Yarrowia lipolytica: one gene and its partner. Each later gene encodes a partner of the first gene's protein in a complex. Links are inferred from orthologs where the notes say so. Each region holds a gene or a part of one and is shown in the gene's direction. Other genes may lie near its edges.

Region 1 (9,726 bases):
ATTAAAAAAAGGAAAGGAAAAAAAAACATGATTGGTTTGGAATTTGGCTGTCTCGTTTTATTTGCTGTATATCGCATCTTGCTGTTTGGAATCCTGATACCACTTCACTACCTCCGATCTACTTGAACTCACACTTTTACTTTCACAATCAATTCATTTACATCAATAGACGCTTGATCTAGATCTTGAGCTTGAATAGCTTGAGCAGCAGCTCGGCGTCCTTAATCTCCTGCTTCTCCTCGCCAATGTACTCGCCCTTGTGGGCCTCGTGCTCGCCCTCCTTTCGGAGAGGTCGTCGAAGAGTCTTGGTGAGCAGATCCGAGTTGTTCTCAATGGCCTTTTCCAGATTGAGATCAGCAGAGTCCTTCACAACAGTGTACTCAATGTGGACATCGTCGGTGACCTCGAGTCCCAGGGTCTTTCGCAGTTTCTGGACTCGGTTGAGCACCTCTCGAACAGTGGCCTCGCCCTTGTACTCGTCGTAGACGTTGGTGTCGAGCAGACAGAGCACGTCCTGGTCGGAGGAGACCTCGAACCCGGCACCACAGTCGTCAATGGTTCGCGAAATGGTCAGATCGCCCTCCACCAGCTCAATGCCGTCGACAGTGCACTTGTTGGTCTTGAGGTAGTTGAAAACCTCCTCGGAAGACAGCTGGGGAAGACCCTTCTTAACTCGGGCAATGTCCTTCTTGAGCTTCTTGCCGAGAACGGGCCAGTCAGCCTGGGCCTTGTACACCACCTTGTGGGCAGCCTCGTCGTCGGTGATGACCACCTGTCGCACGTTGAGCTCCTCGACAATGTACTTTTCGAGGTCTCGCACGTGTTTGAGGTAGGCAGGGTCAGTGTGGATGATGACCAGCGACTTGAGAGGGGTCTTGAGAGGCACGTTCTTCTTGTCTCGAATGACTCGGCCCTGTTCAATGATGGACTGGACCCGCTTCACAGCAAGCTCAATGTCCTCGTCAAACAGCTCCTCTCGAACCTGGGGGTAGGGCAGGAAGTGGACCGATCGAGAATCCGCCACGGAAGAATCAAACTCAATGTAAGGCTTGATCTTCTGGTAGATGGTCTCAGACAGGAAGGGGGTGAAGGGAGCCATGGCTCGAACCAGGGTGTACTCGGCCTCAAACAGAGTGTTGAGAGCCTTGACGGCGTCCTCCTCTCCGTTGTCTCCCTTGAGACGGGATCGGTTCAGACGAATGTACCAGTTGGTGAGATCGTCAATGAGGTGGAGCAGTCGAGGAACCACGGCGTACAGCTTGTACTCCTTCATCATGGCGTGAATGTGGCCCACCAGCGACTGCAGAGACGCAAGAATCCACCGGTCCATGACATTGTCGGATTTGAGCGCAGGGTTGTACTTGAACTCGGTACCGTACAGCTTATTGACCAGAGACACCTGGCCCTCCCAGAACTTGTACGAGTTCCACCACGGCAGCAGAACCTTGGACACCACCTCTCGAACGCCCTCCTCCTGGAACTTGAGGGTGTCGGCTCGCAGAACCGGCGAGTTGATGAGATACAGCCGCAGAGCGTCGGCTCCAAACTTGTCGAGCACCTCGGTAGGGTCAGGGTAGTTTTTGAGTCGCTTTGACATCTTTTTGCCGTCGGCAGCAAGAACCAGGCCGGAGACAATCACGTTCTTGAACGGCGACACGCCAAACAAGTAGTTTCCGAGCACCGTGAGAGTGTAGAACCAGCCTCGGGTCTGGTCGATTCCCTCGGAAATGAAGTCGGCGGGGAAGCCCTTCTCCATCACCTCCTTGGACTCGGGGTCAAAGGGGTAGTGTCTGGAGGCGTAGGGCATGGAGCCGGACTCGAACCAGCAGTCAAAGACCTCCTCCACTCGTCGAAGCACGCCCTTGCCCATCTTGGAGGGGATGGTGATGTCGTCAATGTGGTGCCGGTGGATGTCGTCGATGTTCTTGACTCCAGACAGCTCCTCGAGCTCGGCCACGGATCCCACGCAAACCACCTCCTCGTAATCGTCGGAGACCCACAGGGGGATGGGGGTACCCCAGTATCGGTTTCGGGAAATGTTCCAGTCTCGGGCGTTTTTGATCCAGTTGCCAAATCGGCCATCCTTGATGTTGGAGGGCACCCAGTTGGTCTTGTCGATGTTTTCCAGCATCTGAGGGATCATCTCCTTGATTCGCACGAACCACGAAGGCACGGTTCGGTAGAGCAGAGGAGTGTCCGATCGCCAGCAGAAGGGGTACGAATGACGCACCTGGCCGTCGACCACCAGTCGGCCCATCTCCTTGATTTTCTTGATGATGGACCGGTCGGCGTCCTTGACATAGACTCCCTCCCAGTCGGAGACCGCGGGGGTGAATTTGCCGGCGTCGTCGACGGGATTGGGGGGGTACCGCTTGTCGGAAATGATGCCTGCGTCGGTAGCGGCCAGATAATCGTCCTCTCCGAACGCGGGAGACTGGTGGACGATTCCGGTACCGGAGGAGTCGGTGACGTAATCGGCACAAATGACCTGGAAGCCCGGGGTCAACTTGAGCTTTCGGGCGTCCTCCGAGTCTTCAAAGTCCGCGGCAAAGTAGGGGAATAGAGGCTGGTATCGCTTGCCCTTGAGAGAAGAGCCCTTAATGCCCTTTTCCAACACGGAAAAGTCGGCCTTCTTGGGGTTCTTGTACAGAGTGGACAGCAACGACTCCAGCAAAATGTACACGTCGCCGGTCTTGCCGTCCTTGATCTTGATGTAGTCAAAGTTGGGGTTCACGGCAAGAGCCAGGTTCGAAGGAAGAGTCCAGGGAGTGGTGGTCCAGGCCAGCAACTTGACCTCGGGCTCATCCACCAGAGGGAAGGCGACGACCACCGCGGGATCCAGCACCTCCTTGTAGTTCTGAGCAGCCTCAAAGTTGGCAATGGGCGTGCACAGAGCGGTGGAGTAGGGCATGACTCGATGGCCCCGGTAGACAGCGTCCTTCTTGTACAGCTCCTGAAACACCCACCAAACCGACTCCATGAACGACGTCTGCAGCGTCTTGTAGTCGTTGTCAAAGTCGATCCATCGACCCAGCCGACCAATCGTCTTGCGCCACTCCCCAGCATATCGCATCACAATGGCTCGACACTCCTCGTTGTAGTTGGCCAGACCAAACTTCATCACGTCTTCCTTGCCCTTGATATCCAGCTTCTTGTCAATCTCGTGTTCCACAGGAAGCCCATGCGTGTCCCAGCCAAACCGTCGCTCCACATGATGCCCAGTCATATGGGCATATCGTGGCACAATGTCCTTGATGGTCGACGCCAAAATGTGGCCATAGTGCGGAGTGCCAGTGGCAAACGGAGGCCCATCGTAGAAGGTGAAATGGGGCTTGTCAGCATTGAGCTTGAGTGACGTCTGGAAGGCATCAATCTCCTCCCAGAACTTGAGCACCGCTTCTTCCTCCTTGGAGAAATTCATTGTGTTTGTGTCGGTGAATCCGAGTGGGTGTTGCTAGGGTAGATTTAATGCAAAATTTCACAGGTTAGGGCTCGTTGGTTTATGGTAGGTGACTCACTGTCACGTGAATTGGAGACAAGAAAATGAAGAAAATGAAAACAAAACAAAACTCTGACATATTATTACCGGGAGGGAAATCACAATTTTTGCCCCCTTTTTATCCCAGAATTTCCAACATTTTTCCTTGGCTTTTTTCTTCACTTTTTTCATCGATTTTTTCACAAATTTTTCATCCGGTGTTTTTCCAGACTTTTTTTTTAATCTTTTTTTCCCCCGAATTTCTGCCGGGGAAAATCATGTTTTTCGAGTGGATTTCTTCATCATTTATTTATCACTCATTATATAAACACGCAATAACTGCAGTAGTCGAAGATAAATTAAAATAATAAAAAATAAAAAAGCCCGAAATACTGATATTCGTTGTGGTGGTTTTTTTTGTTTTTTTTTTTTCCAATTTTCGGTATATCCCATCTTTATTTTTCCCGTTTAATTCCATGACTGAATGTGACTCAATCGAAATTCCAGTTGACTCTTCGCCTGGTCACGTGACTCGACATTCGTCTCCGAAAAAATGACTCATCCGACATCGCAGGGCTTCCCCGTTCCCCTGACCTGGTCTGCACCCGACGAAATCAGCCCCGGAGGAGATCAGAGATTAAGAGTGTGTCGCAGAGGTTATGACTAAATTTTGGGACTACAGTACCTCAACACCAACTAACCAGTGTCGCAGAAATGGCCACCATGTCCGTCTCCAGTCTGTCCCCAATTCCCTGTAAAATATGCCATTCTAAACCTCTTAATGTTCAGATTACGGCAAACTCATCTCCTTAGGTTATGAATAGCAAGCAGTGTAAAATGATATACAGATTATGACGGGTAATAATTATCACCTGACAATCTGTCCGTCAAGTACTTGTACAAGTATAGCACCTCTGGTTCTATTTTGCGGATCCCCCTTTTTCCATGTCCAAATCTAGCCAACCTTTGTCATTTAATTATACACTCAAAATCAGGTCGATATGTGCTCTAATATATTTATTTTAAAAAGGGGGAAAAAACAGAAATAAAAAGAAGGAATAAAAGAAGAATTAAAAGGGTCTACAAAGTAAAGCCGGGAGACATAAAAACCAGATGACCTTTTTGTTTTTGCGATACATTTTCTACAAATCACATCAACCTACACACGTGATTTAGAGATATTCATAGTACCAAACCCTAATACAGATACTTCAACTTTTAACCCCAGCCCTACAGTAGAAAGATACCCGAAACGTAGCAACCCAACGATTTTATTATATTCACATAATACAGAAAGCTATATATGGGAGGTTGAGATTCTTTTTTCCCATAATGACATGTGTTTGATTGTGCCCGTGCCCATTCTTCAACGACATTCAGTCTTGAAGTGGAAACCCCAACCCCCCAAACCACCTAACCCTGCCCTAAACCCAACAACCCTAAACCGAGTAAACTGTAATTTATTACTAGCCACGCCGGGTAACTCACGTGATCTCAAATTTTCACTTTATGGATACAGAGCAAACCTCAAAGATAAGCGATTGATTTGCACTCAACCATTCACTCCTTTACAACTGCACAAAAAAAAACAAAATGTCGACAACGGTGGAAAAGATCAAAAACATCGAGGAGGAGATGGCTCGGACCCAGAAGAACAAGGCGACTTCGTTCCATCTGGGTCAGCTGAAGGCCAAGTTGGCCAAGTTGAAGCGAGAGCTGTTGACTCCCACTTCCTCTGGAGGTGGTGGCGGAGGCGCTGGGTTCGATGTGGCTCGAACTGGTGTTGCTTCGGTTGGATTTATCGGGTTTCCTTCGGTTGGAAAGTCGACTTTACTGTCCAAGTTGACTGGTACTCATTCAGAGGCAGCGGCGTATGAGTTCACCACGCTGACCACTGTTCCCGGAGTGATTATGTATCGTGGTGCCAAGATCCAGATGCTGGATCTTCCTGGAATTATCGAGGGAGCCAAGGATGGTAAGGGTCGAGGTCGACAGGTGATTGCGGTGGCTCGAACGTGCAACCTGATTTTTGTGGTGCTGGATGTGAACAAGCCGCTGGAGCACAAAAAGATCATTGAGCGGGAGCTGGAGGGATTTGGTATTCGAATCAATAAGGAGCCTCCTAACATTTTGTTCAAGAAGAAGGAGCGGGGTGGAATCAACATCACCAACACGGTTCCTCTGACCCATTTGGACAATGACGAGATTCGGGCGGTGATGGGCGAGTATCGAATCAATTCTGCTGACATCCATTTCCGATGCGATGCCACTGTCGACGAGCTCATTGACATTCTCGAGGCGCAGAACCGACGCTACATTTCGGTCATTTATTGTCTCAACAAGATTGACAGCATTTCCATTGAGGAGTTGGATCTGCTTTACCGAATCCCTAACGCGGTGCCCATTTCGTCGGAGCATGGCTGGAACCTGGACGAGCTGCTGGAGGAAATGTGGAAGAAACTCAACCTCGTTCGGGTCTACACCAAGCCCAAGGGCCAGCAGCCCGACTACGAGCAGCCCATCATTCTGCGGAATGGTCGGTCGACCGTCCAGCATTTCTGTAACCAGATCCACAAGAGTCTGGTTGAGGAGTTTAAGACGGCATGTGTCTACGGTCAGTCGGTCAAGCACCAGCCCCAGTATGTTGGTTTGGCCCATGAGTTGATGGACGAGGATGTTGTCACTATTCTGAAGAGATAGTCTGGATCCTGGCAAACACTGAGCAGTCAGCACAAGAAAAGAGGAGGTGAAGATGAAGATGAGAAGGATCCGACCGGACAGACCAAAAAAGAGATTGGGATAGATCTCAAAGAGACCGGGATGGACCGAAACAGACTGGGATGGACCGGAAGAGACCGGGTCAGAGCTCCAGACATCAGGACAGAGCTCCGGACACTGACAACCCTCCATACCCGGTCTCAGCGGTGTCCTGATGGACACACAGCTAACGCTCACCAGAGTAGTGAATATATCATGATAGGATATACATACAGTACTGTAGAGAGAAGGGTGAATGTAGGTAGTAGTGGCAAAATTCTAGCTACAACACATCTCTGGTGCATTGGTTCTGTGATGAATCAGTCATGACGACCACCAGTAGACAGTCATCGTTGGTACACAGACTCCACTGTCAATGTGTTGAAATGACGACGATTCAAACGTCTCCAACATGTGCGTACAGTACCAAAAGCATTGAAGGAAAGCGTTGTCTCATTTCAACCAAGTCCACACTTGCGAGACACCTTTATCACTCGGGAGCTCAGGCCCCTCATCCAGGCGAGACGTGGTTGGATGAGGGACAAGCATACACTCTGATAAAGGAGTCATCAGGCAGCCAAAGGGACGTTTCCAGCCAAAGGGGCGTTTCCGGCCATTGTCGAGGACCCAAGGTGCAGAAAGACCAGCAATATGTCCAGAGGGAACACCAGAACCATGTTGAGTGAGTTTGGGTCATATCTCGGACGAGGAATTGTCGCTTTGATTAGTGAGAAGGGCGGCGGGGCTGCTGAGTCATCCACCGAGATGACAACTGAATGCTTTGGAGGGATGGACTGTCGGTTGAATAATCATATGTCTGCTCGCTCCATCTGCTGTTGACTTGGTATCAGCACACCAGGACTCTCGGTCAAGAGAACAGGTGACACACGATCCAAACCTGATCCAGATCCAGCTTGTTTCGTCTGAGCATGAACGTCTGCGAAGACCGTCCTTGAGCAAAGCGTTTGTGCCCAACTCGCCAAACCGCGAGAGCAAGAGCCAGTCCGAGCAGCAACATGCCAGAACTACAGCCGCCAGCCGACGATGCCGATAACACAACACGACAGCGCCAAGATAAAACTGTGAACTACGAGAGCCAGGGTCGTTGAGTCAGAGCCATGTTGTCAGAGCCATTGAGCGAGAGCCATTGAGTCGCCATGTTGCCAGAGCCATCGAGTCAGAGCCAATAAGAACGTGTTTGTGTTTTTTGCGACGAATTGGGGATATTTGTGTCAGGATGTATGTGGTATCAAGTTGTGTGAGTTGTGGAGATGTGAGAAGACTTGTACAAGTGCACCCGTAACTAAAATGTCAAGTATACAGTATCTAAGGTCACTCTATTTACTTAGTGGGGGAAGGAGAACTCGGAGACATACACACAACATCAAAATTACACAGCTCACTCATTTACCTGGCTCGGTTTTAGTTGACATACTAGTTGACTGAACACGCACGTCTCACATCAGTAATTTCTTATTAATTAAATCGAAACTGCCCATCATATTCATCACGTGACCACTTCCTCCCCTTCTCCACCTCCCCTTTTCCACCTCCCCTTTTCCACCTCCCCTTTTTCACCTCCCCTTTTTCACCTCCCATCTCTACCTACTGTAGCCTAAATCTCCACTCAATGGAGAAAACTCCCCAGCACAGACAATTAGTCAGCGGATAATGATCGCAGGGATACAAAAGTTGTACCATTTAACAGCCCTTGATCTAGCAGTTACAACGATATAATGTTATTGCAGCTGTCTCCTTCATTGTTTGACGTGAGTGGTTGTCCCGTATGTACTTGTATACATTTATTTTACTGGTGATGAAGATATTTATTGAAGATCATAAGTATTATTGGTGTGATATAGTTAATTAACAACTTACAACCCACTTCTAGGGACACGGCGTTCCGATAGTAGCACAAACACCAGAAGGGTGTGTTGCTTGCTCATTTCACCAGAAAAAGAGATTCTAAGATCAGTGGAATAAAACTATCTACAGGATGGACAATCTCGTCTACGAGACCAAGCTGATTCCTCTCATCACTCATTATGGGTGACAATCTCATCATTATGTGAGGGAATTAGCCAGGTATTACCCGCCACCGGGTATTACCTTCAACAATATTTAGGGGACCGTGAGTGTGCATTAGAATCTAAGAATCAATTTGAATCAAAGGTCAATATGTCATGGGATTCACTGCAATGTTCCGATTTTCTACCAGGTTTTTTTGCCAATTTTTTCCCTATAATTTTTCCAATTTTTCCAATTTTTCCATCAATTTTTTCATAATTTTTTTTTCAATTTTTTTCCAATTTTTTTCCCAAAATTTTCTCTTTCGTCAACTAAAGTCAAGTAACTGAGCGAGGCCGACTAACCAGACTCCAAAAGGGACAACAAACCAGAAATGAGACAGGTGACACAAAAGGATCTGTGGCCCATGACTAGACATATATTACAGCGACAACCACTGGAGATTGGCAGCTGTTCAGCTCTTGGGGAACAGTAATGTGTTCAGCCAAATGAACGTGAAAGATGGACGGGTTGGACGGGTTGGACGGGTTGGACGGGTTGGAGATCAAGAGTTGATGGTTCTGAGAATGACGTTCCCGAGAATGTCTCAATTACTTCTACAGCCTCAGACTACGATATGTGCTCATAAAAATACATAGAAATACATCCGAGTGGTGCGGCAGCTTTTCAGACAGCTGCTTGAGCTCGGCCCTCCAATAAATAATCTTTCTGAGTCGAGAGAATGCAGTCAACACGGTCGGCAAGACACGCCATTGAGAGTGGATGTTTGTAGACAAGTGACAGGTAGATAGCAACAATAGTTCAGAGGCGATGACTATTTGTAGACATATGACCGGTAGACAGCAAAGTAGTTCAGAGGCTATTGCTATTTGTAGTCATGTCAAAGCCGTTCCGATTGAATATGGTAGTTGCAGAGTCCGATCGCAGGGACCGATCGCAAGGACTGATCGCAGGGGCTGATCGTAGGGACTGATCGTAGTCACTTGCTCCAATCGCAGGTCCACGATGGAATCGCTTGCTCAATCGTTTGCTCGCTATGATAGTGGCTTGCTCCAATCGCTCGCTATGACAGTCGCTCGCTATGACAGTCGCTCGCTATGACAATCGCTCCGCTCTTGTCACCACTTCACTCGCAACTCCTCTTACTCCTCCTCTCCTCCGCCTGTCCACTGACCTTTCTGGCATGCTTCTCCACGCCATTCACCCCATCTGAATTTCTCACCACCATGCTAGCCAGACAAATGTCTTCATAAGTCTGTAGGTTGTACTTGAGAGACTCGTCCAGTGCCACGGAAAACCGCTTGGACTGCACGTACTGAATGCTGCGCACCGTATCCCACCCCATGGAGTTCATCACCATGGCACAGGTGGCGGTGGCACTCCGGTCGTTGCCAGTTTCGCAGAACATGAGCGTGCCCACCCCCATCTGCGCGGCCTTTTCAAACAGCCCTATCAGCCAGTCC
Region 2 (9,575 bases), on another chromosome or scaffold:
CCTTGCTTGTAAGGCGTACGGTTCGAGAAGAGCCGTTACACCTTGCCGAAGGAAGCAAACGCAAAGCAGGTTGTTGATCAGAATAGGCTTTTAGAGGACATGCCGAATGCGAGGGAAGGTAGCAAGTTTTGGGTGAAGAGGCGGAGGTATTGAGATGGGGAGGTTTACAATCGATTTTTCGAGTCTTGTTTACTCGATTCGACCTTTTCCGCGACAAAATTGACCCATTACAGCCCGTTTTTATTGCTGCCATCTTTTTCTATCACTGTCTAAATCTGCTACAATAGTATGAACTGAATTGGAGCGAACCTTCATAATTGTTCCATGACATGACAAACTGACGGACATAAGAAATGCAATGTAGATGAAAGTTGACGGAGATCAAGTACATAGTGGAGGATATATAACAGTGCACTGCTGCCGGAAGATACCTCCTGACATCCCATAACCCACACATCCAACACACAAACACAACATGTCTACTACACCCACCACTCTCATCACTGGAGCCACTGGCTTCATTGCCGGCCATTGCATCGAGCAGCTTCTGAAGGCCGACCACAAGGTCATTGGAACGATTCGATCGCAGGAGAAGGGCCAGCGATTGGCCGCTGCTTTCCCCGAGGCCATCAAGACCGGCCAGCTGGTGTTTGAGACTGTTTCCGATGTCCGATCCGAGCAGGAGTTCAAGACTCTGTTCCAGAAGCACACTGACATCAAGTATGTGCTCCACACCGCCTCTCCCTTCCATTTCAACGTCGAGGACCCCGTCAAGGATATGCTTGAGCCTGCGGTTGAGGGTACTCTGACCGTCCTCAAGACCGCCAAGCAGTACGCTCCCCAGGTTGAGAAGTTCGTCATCACTTCGTCTTTCGCCGCCATGATGAACTGGCACGAGGTTGGCGACTCCTCCGCCGTCGTCACCGAGAAGTCCTGGAACCCCGTCACTTGGGACGAGGCTGCCCAGAAGGGCAATGTTGTCGTAACCTACCTGGGCTCCAAGAAGTTCGCCGAGAAGGCCGCTTGGGATTTCATGGAGTCTGAGAAGCCCTCCTTTGGCCTCACCACTGTCAACCCTGCCTACGTCTTTGGTCCTGGTATTGCTATTGATGCCAAGGCTCTCAACACCTCCAACGAGGTCATTGTCCAGGGAGCTCTCTCTACCAAGCCTGGTCAGGATGCTCCTGCTGGCCCTGCCCAGATGTGGGTTGACGTGCGAGACGTGGCCAAGGCCCACCTGTCTGCCATCTCCAAGACCCTAGACAACCAGCGTCTCATGCTGTGCGTGTCCAAGTTCTGTAACCAGGATCTCCTTGACGTGATCAACGAGAAGGTGCCTGAGCTCAAGGGAAAGATTGCTACCGGAAAGCCTGGAACCGGAGCTGAAACTGACAAGGAGGGCTTTCAGTTTGATAACGACCAGACACGAAAGGCTCTCAACTACGACTGGATTCCCCTTGACAAGTCTGTGGCTGACTTTGCTAACCAATGGCTGTCGTTCCAGAACTAAAACGTTCGAGAGCGAAGCCCGAAGAGTCCTTCCAGTGATTTGACTGACCCCATAACCACCAATAGATATAGATGAATGGATAACTTATAGAATCATTCAACTTAGAGATGATAGAACGCGGACTACACAAGTACAATACTGTACTCGTACCAGTACATACCATACACATAACGTAACCCAACATATATTACTAGAGATGTATGTACTCGTCGCACGAAAAGCAAGTGTCTGACTGCCTCTTGCAGACGCTCAGCCTGCGGTTTCGTCATCTGCTCTTACAACTTTGCCTTTTCTTGAGTGCCCACACCTCCACTGGTAGCAGCAACATTGCCTCTGATACCGCCGTTCTCAGGAGCCTTCTCATCGCCAAAGAAAACCACCGTCACGGTCAGGTCGTCTCGGTATCGCCGTGACTGAGGAGCAGGGATGCTCAGAAGCATGGACAGCTGTTCCCGATCGGCTCCTCCAAGAGCGTTTCGAATCAGGTGAGTTGCCACGTTCTCATCCTCAACAGTGGGCTTGAGAACGGCACCCTGGTGTCGGAAAGGAGGCTTCATGGCGTCCTGGTCGACTGTCAGATCAACCACCTTTGTCGAGTCCTTGCTGCCAAACATCTTGTCCCACATTCCTCCAGACTTGGCCGAAGCGGCGGTGGAAGACTCGGTGATGGGGTGAGTCTCCATCCACTGCACGACCAGAGACACCACCTCGTCGTTGGAGAGCATCTCGAACAACCCATCGGAGCCCATCACCAGAAAGTCACCACTCTTGACCTTGGTGGTAGTCACCTCAGGCTCAGCTGTGACGTAGGGAGGCGACCTCAGCTCCGGAGGCGTGCTTCGGCCGAAAAAGGCACGTGCCACCTTATCTTGCAAGTCACGTGTCCACTTGTATCGGGCGTCTCCAAACGCTCGGGTGGGTTCCAGACCGCCCAGAACTCGGCCCCGTCGAATCACACGGTCCTCTTCGCCAGGATGCTCTTTTCGGATTCGGTCAGCTTCTCGCTGGTTGGAGCCAGTCTGGTCGACAGACAGGGCACGTGCAGTCCATCCAGAAGAAGACTTGGAGCCGAGAACAGCACGAGAATCGCCGGTGACAGCAACTCGAAGAGTGTGAGACAGGGTATCATAGAATGCCAGCAGACCACAGGATCCAGAAACGGCGGGAGCCAGCGTCTCGGGAGACTGGCCCTTTTGGGGGTTCTTGAGCAGTCTGTTAATGGAGTGGATGCAGATCTCGTCATCCAGAGCCAGGAAGCCTCTCTTGATAGCCAGATCGATGGTTTCAGGGCTGGGAGTTCGTCGTATGTTATCGCCAAGCGTCTTGCCAGCATCGCTGTAGCCCGCATCAAGCTGTCGAATCACATAGTTGATGAGCTCTTCTCTGAGCTTGGCAGAGGTGGTCCAGCCTCCATGGCCGTCATACAGGCCCCAGAACATCCAGTCGGACGAAGCGTTGGCGTTTCCAGCTTCATTCAGAGCCACAGACACCACCCGGTCGGAGTAGTCGTCCTCAATGGGCGAATTGGACGGCAACTGCGCCATATCGTATCTCAGTACCCCGCGTCCTCGCTCCACGAAATGACTCTGCTCATGCTCCCGCAGTCGCGCGTTGACCCGCTCGGGATTCATAATGTTCATTCGTCGGCCAAACGGATCGTACCCTCCAGCAGCATTGGTGTTGATACCTCTGCTGTCCAGAGCAATGGGGTCCATAAGATACTGGTGGCCCATGTATGCGGTGGCGAGCACGAGCCCGGAGGCCAGGCCGTAGAGAGCCCGTCGAGAGGCCACAGGTTGTCGGTTGGACATGGTAGTCATGTATCGTTTGGAACTTCGTAGCATGTTAACAGACACAGTAGGAGGTTCAGCACTGCGGGTGTACTGTATTAATGGGTTTAGCTCAGTGGATGCAAGGACATCGTAGGGAACCTCGCCTGGACTAAATATCACGGAAGAATTGCTCAGGCAAAAGGGATATACATTCGGGTTCAGCAAGGCCGCAATTGTACAGAGTCTCTCTGTCATGGATTGCAAAAAATATATTTCTTCTTGATTAGTAATCGCACACTCGATAATTTATTAGAGTTTCAAATTAAGCTTTATCTGCCCCCAAAAAGAGTAGGCGACACGTGACCAGTTGATAGATTATGACAATGGCGGATCGTTCGATAAGGAGTACGTGTTGATGGTGTATCAGGTTCCCTAACACGGACCAAAATTTCCCCTTTTACCTGGCTTCTCAGAAGTCACTCGATTCTCGCGTGACATCCTCACCTCCGGACTGAGAAGTCGCCCTGCGTAAATCTCGGACTGCATTTGAAAGCAAGAGTGAAAATTGCCTAAAGTGAAAAAAAACCATGTAGGCATACTACACCACTACACTACACGACCCAGCAAGATGCCACCCAAGCAGAAGCTCAACGAGAAGAACAAGGCCGCCAAGCGACAGGAGCGGGCCAGCGACAAGACCTTTGGTCTCAAGAACAAGAACAAGTCGTCCAAGGTTCAGCGATTTGTGCAGCAGGTTGAAGCTACAGCCTCTGGAGCCGACAAGAAGAAGCAGGCTGAGAGAGAGCGTAAGGAGGCCGAGAAGAAGGCTGCCGCTGCGGCCAAGGCCGAGGCCGCCAAGCTGTTTGGCTCCGTGGTGATTACCCAGAAGGTTCCCTTTGGAGTTGATCCCAAGACCGTGCTGTGTGCATACTTCAAGGAGGGCCAGTGCACCAAGGGCACCCGATGCAAGTTTTCGCACAACCTGGAGGCTGACCGAAAGACACAGAAGAAGGATCTGTACACGGACGCGCGAGAGCAGGAGAAGGAGCAGGGCATGGACACCTGGGACGAGGAGGAGCTGCGAAAGGTGATTCTGTCCAAGCATGGAAACCCCAAGACCACCACAGATATTGTTTGCAAGTTCTTTCTGGACGCCATCGAGGACTCCAAGTACGGCTGGTTCTGGGTCTGTCCCAACGGCGGCGATCAGTGCAAGTACAGACATTCTCTGCCACCGGGCTTTGTGTTCAAGACCAAGGAGCAGAAGAAACTGGAAAAGCTTGCGCTGGAAAAGCAGCCCAAGATTACTCTCGAGGACTTTTTGGAGACAGAGCGTGCCAAACTGCCCAAGAACCTTACTCCTGTGACTCTGGAGTCTTTCAACAAGTGGAAGGCTGACCGAATCAAGGCCAAGGAGGAGGCTGCTGCTGAGGAGGCCCGAAAGCTGACCCAGAAACAGATGTCTGGTCGACAGCTGCTGCTTACCGGAAAGTATGACGATGATGAGGAGGACGATGGAACTAACGGTACCGCCTGGGACTTGTCTGAGTTCAAGCCCAGTTTGGATATTGTCGATGATGAGGAGTAAGCACAAGCGTCGGCGAGTGCTTGTGGTCATTGGGTATTGTCGTTGTGGCCTTGGTCGCATGAACAGACCCTCCTCCCTCCAGAGAACGGGTGTTACTTACTACATGCTCAACATATACAGAGAGCCATCAGTACTGTACACCAACTAACCGAAGCGGATTTCACAAAAGAAACCGCTTCAACACCTGCATTATAGCAGGTTGCATGCCTCATTACTTGGCTACTTTTTATTTCTATAGGAATACATCGTGTAGAGACAGCTTGTAACCATGTTAACGACCAACGCAGGGTCTGGAAATGACTGTACGTGATTGTCAATTGACCACCAGTGGCCATTGCTGTGGAAAATTATCGATGACAACTGTCGGTTTATGCCTACGCTTGCAAGCAAGGAGACTGTGTAGATACTTGTACTGGTACCGCTCCCTCTCGTTCGATTCCGAGAATGGCTTGATAACAAAGGAGAGCAGACTCACGGGGCACGAGATTCGAGCGCGATGACTAAGTGTCAGCGTTACTAATCATTGATTCCTGATATATATGGTAAATGTGGACCACTCCGAGACGGCGGTATGCATCGCACGGCTGATGTCGGAGGGACCCAGCAGGAAGTCACGTGAGTTTGATATCCCCAGGGAACAGCTGATTTTCCGGAGACATTCAAATCACGTGACTCGATGTACTACTTGTCTTGTTCTTGTACTTGCACTTACACCGGGCAGTAGGTAGCGTACTTGTACTCTGTTAGCGGAGTAGACATATGGTACATGCCGTAGTTGTACCGTAACAGTGTACTCACACACGTGGTTGTATGCAAATGGACGCTCTGTCTGGCACGTTACCACTCCTACCCGCCCAACGCCGTCTGACTGCACTGCCCCACATGGCGTAAAAACCAACTTGACAACTTTGTTAGCTTTTAGTTAGGTTCGATCGGCCCAAAGACGTGAGCTGATTTGTCGATGTCTCTGTCTCTCTCTGTCGAGTCTTAGCCCGCTTTTAGCCTGGAGTCAGCTGTTATAGGGGCCACTGACAACAAGTCTCCCGCGGCACTTGTACAGGTACAGTACCGTATGTACTCGTACAGTAGATACAGGCACTCAGGGGTAATGTCTTCTGACAGTTTGCGAAAATTCTCGAGAAAAATGTGACAAACCAAGCAGCAAAAAAAACAGTGGAATGCAGGAGTCTGGTGGATAGGGGCACAGGGGTGCAAGTAAGCAGGGTCACCAAATGAGTCCGTTCTATGGCGCCAAACATTGAGCTCGGCCCATTATCGACGAAAATAACTCACCACAGCGCCCTCGTTCAAGCTCCAAATCACTATACAAGTAACTGCTCACTCGTACAAGCCACCGTACTAACTGTACTGACGTCCTGATAGACTCTTTGGGACCCGCCCACCAACCCTGCGGCATGTCCCACATGAGGCTATCAGCCGCATAGTTGGATCTACAGAAGCCAAGAGGGATATACGAGTAAAGAGGAGGGGAAGGAGGAGGGGTGGGAAAGTGGGGCATTGGTGGGGACTGCGAGAGAAGGGGCGTTCCACCGGGACGGTGTATCACGTGACTGTCTCTCCTTTTGGGCTCTTTGGTCCCAGGGCTGTCCATCATCTGTTGTCTGACATGTCCTCTCCTGCATGTTGTTGCATCGACCATTGTTTTCATTTTTCATTCTCAACAGTAAAAAGTCTATTCCTGCGCCCTCGGCAGCACAGCAGACTTTTGGCCATCATCCATATATAGACAAGAGGGGGCGCGTGCGTTCGACAGATCCACCCAGAGCTGAAGCAGAGAGCTACATCACCATCGACCGTTCGGCAGCGACATACACGGGGCGGCGTCACACCATTTCCAACACTCACCGACGACTCCAACACTCACCAACCATCCAACATGCTGCTCCTGAACATGCTCTCTCTGCTGCCTGTGGCGCTCGCCTACAACACGTTCCAGAACGCGGCCATCGTCGACCCCGCGACCTTCTCAGCCACCACTGAGGACGGGCAGGTTCTGCTCATCGACACGTACAACTTCAAGACGTGGTCGATGGACGACCGACAGTACGTGGGCCAGTGGAACCCCTTCGACAAGCTGCGAACTAGAGCCAACGACACGGGAATGGTGATGCTGTCGCATTTCCGAGACGAGTCCGGCAACTTTGTGGGCTCTTACGACGACAAGACCGGCGAAATCACCAACTCGGGCCGAGTTGTGGGCCATGCCAACGACACGGGCTTCTTCGACGTGACCGGAACCCGACGAGGACTGGCCAAGGACAACTCCACCCGCCAGTTCTATGCACCGGACCAGTCGTTCATTGGCGGCGTGTTTGTGGAGCCCAAGGTCGGCCCTGGCTCCAGCGGATTCACCTGGGACGACCTCAACAAGGACTACAAGGATATCGCAGCTACCATTGGCCCCCAGGCTGGAATTGTGCGAGATCTGAGCGGCCTTCTCTCCCCTCGAACTCGATTCTACATTCGTAATCCCCAGTTTGGAGATGGAGCCGAAATGGTTTACATTCGAAACAACACTATGGATACCCTGCAGATCGAAACCGACTACACCATCCAACTCAACCTGTCGCATATTAGCTTCAACTACACTCTGAACGTGAACACGGGCAAGTTTGACTTTGGACCCGATGGAGAGGCCTTCATCCAGTACTCCAACAGCTCTGTGGTTGCCGACGGAGAGCTTTGGGGCGACTTCCTGAAACAGACCGGGGTTGGAAACGAAACCAAGACCATTAAGTCTGATCTGGACCTGTCTCCTATTGCTAATCTGTCCTTTGTCGACTCGGACCAGAAACCCATTGGAGGAGTATATAACCTGGACGTGATCCTTGATACAAACAACAACCTGATGTACGCCATCAACCCTAACACTATGGTGGTTTCCGACGCTTCTGGTAAAGCTGTGGGATCCTTGAACGTGACAGATTACTCCCTTCTGTCTAACGACAACAAGACTGTTCTTGGGCAGATTGTTCTGAAGCACGACAAGATTGATAACGATACTGTTCTCGACAACCCTGCTCCTGCTTCGTCCACCGCCGCCAATGGAGCTGGATCTACTCTTCCCACTGCCGCTGCCGCCTTGGTCATTCCATTCTTTTTGCTAATGGTGTAAGAGAGGCATATGGCAGACTGCAAGCAACCCTCGTCGGCGTGACTATTCCCACTGACCCGGACCCCAAAAAAAATTTGTCTAACGAGACATCAAGCACATACCATTGTACATTCCCCTATTTATATTTTGTACCTATAATCATTGAATATAATTGTATATATCTGCTACAAGTAGTAACAAGAAGACTATGTATTGTATATTTACTGTAACTTGATCTTGGTTATGACTACTCACACAATACTCAAAACTAATCAATACAATTAAATATATACCCTCGTCTTATCGGACTTTCAGAATCGAAGATGCTCACTTGTTGGTCTTTGTTGCGCACCAAGTATGTTGTTTTCCGTTCTCATCGTATCGGTTGCACCAGCTAGTTGCTGATGATCCATTCGCTGTCTAGAGCTTGTTCTTTCGCTCTCTCAGCACCTCCATGACCTTGACAGGATCAGTGGATCCACAAACCTCCTCGACAGCAGGGTCATTGACCATCATGAAGGGGTTGTGTTTCTTCTCGTCACCAATGGTGAACACGCCGGTGGTGATTTTGTTGTTCTGGCAAAAGTGATCGAGCTTGTTGACGGCCTCGTTGTTGGGCAGAATCGTCTTAACAAACTTGACGTTGGACTTGGTGTACTCATGGCCGGGGTAGACAACGGTATCGTCGGGGAGCTTGGCCAGAATGTCGTTAAGAGCAACATTCATCTCCTCGGGGGTTCCCTCAAAGAACCGACCGCAGCCAGCAATGAACAGCGTGTCGCCAGTGAAGACGGCTCGCTCGCCAGTCTTGGTGTCCTCCACAAAGTAGCAGATGGAGTCCTGGGTGTGGCAGGGAGTATGAAGAGCAGTGATCTTGAGGTTGTCGCCGAGAGTCAGCTGTTCTCCGTGGGCGGGGGTCTTTGTCACATCGGGAGAATCCTTTCCAGCGATGATGGGTAGCTTGGAAAAGCTCTGTTTGAAGTCCTCGTTGCCTCCCGAGTGGTCCCAGTGGTGATGGGTGTTGACGATAGCGGCGAGATCAATGTCTCCGGACTTGTTGAGCTTCTCGACATCGGCGAGCACCCACTTGGGGAAGGCCGGGTCGATCACCCACGACTTTTTGGAGGCGTCATCGGTCAGAACATAGCAGTAGTTCTGGGTCTCGTCAGGCTGCATTTCCAGGGATCGGACTTTCATTGTGGCTGTGGCGGAGGTGGAAAACGGGTGCTGGGCGGGGTTTCTGGGCGATTGAGTGGTTCTCGGTCTTCTGGCAACGCTGGGTCTCAATTGGCTCAGCTGTCGTCTCAACAGTGACATAGTCTGGGGGATCGCTGGGGAAGAGGGCCTGCAACTGTATTTATACACTAAGCTTGAATTGCTTCCTCTTGATTCGCCCCCACGTGGGGGTGGAGTGAACGAGGGCTACTGCAACCAGCAGTGTCGCCAGTACAGTATATACTGCTACAGACACACACCCGCTAAGGCAGCCACAATGCGGGTTTAGTACGGAATTTTTTACGGCGGCCGCACGACGACCGCACTAACACTTGTTGAACTACTTGTATCCAGTTGCTACAGTAGATGTGTTCG

The links.
Region 2: the proteins of YALI1_A00325g (region 1) and YALI1_D09000g are in contact, whole or in part, in a crystal structure (PDB 4A9A), measured with the Saccharomyces cerevisiae proteins. The link is inferred for Yarrowia lipolytica from reciprocal best matches to the Saccharomyces cerevisiae genes RBG1 and TMA46. Residues at the interface, in NP_009364.1 of Saccharomyces cerevisiae: Ser83, Lys84, Leu85, Thr86, Gly87, Thr88, Glu89, Val106, Ile107, Arg108, Tyr109, Lys110, Gly111, Lys113, Leu150, Val152, Pro155, Leu156, Lys159, Leu249, Ile252, Asp253, Ser254, Leu255, Ser256, Ile257, Glu258, Glu259, Leu260, Glu261; in NP_014734.2 of Saccharomyces cerevisiae: Gln217, Pro218, Lys219, Ile220, Thr221, Leu222, Glu223, Phe225, Ile226, Glu227, Glu229, Arg230, Leu233, Lys237, Leu238, Thr239, Pro240, Ile241, Thr242, Ile243, Asn245, Phe246, Trp249, Lys250, His253, Lys257, Lys269, Pro270, Thr271, Gly272.

What each region holds. Positions count from the first base shown.
Region 1 is NC_090770.1:27,528-37,253, forward strand, and holds YALI1_A00325g (uncharacterized protein), read left to right. Parts: upstream 1-5,071; coding exon 5,072-6,178; downstream 6,179-9,726. Other genes in the region: YALI1_A00309g (uncharacterized protein), read right to left, coding at 179-3,421; YALI1_A00375g (uncharacterized protein), read right to left, coding at 9,390-9,726. UniProt on the Saccharomyces cerevisiae protein: Involved in ribosomal function.
Region 2 is NC_090773.1:894,390-903,964, reverse strand, and holds YALI1_D09000g (uncharacterized protein), read left to right. Parts: upstream 1-3,910; coding exon 3,911-4,870; downstream 4,871-9,575. Other genes in the region: YALI1_D09034g (uncharacterized protein), read left to right, coding at 476-1,510; YALI1_D09004g (uncharacterized protein), read right to left, coding at 1,786-3,537; YALI1_D08983g (uncharacterized protein), read left to right, coding at 5,410-5,594, 5,646-5,796; YALI1_D08971g (uncharacterized protein), read left to right, coding at 6,768-8,006; YALI1_D08946g (uncharacterized protein), read right to left, coding at 8,406-9,302.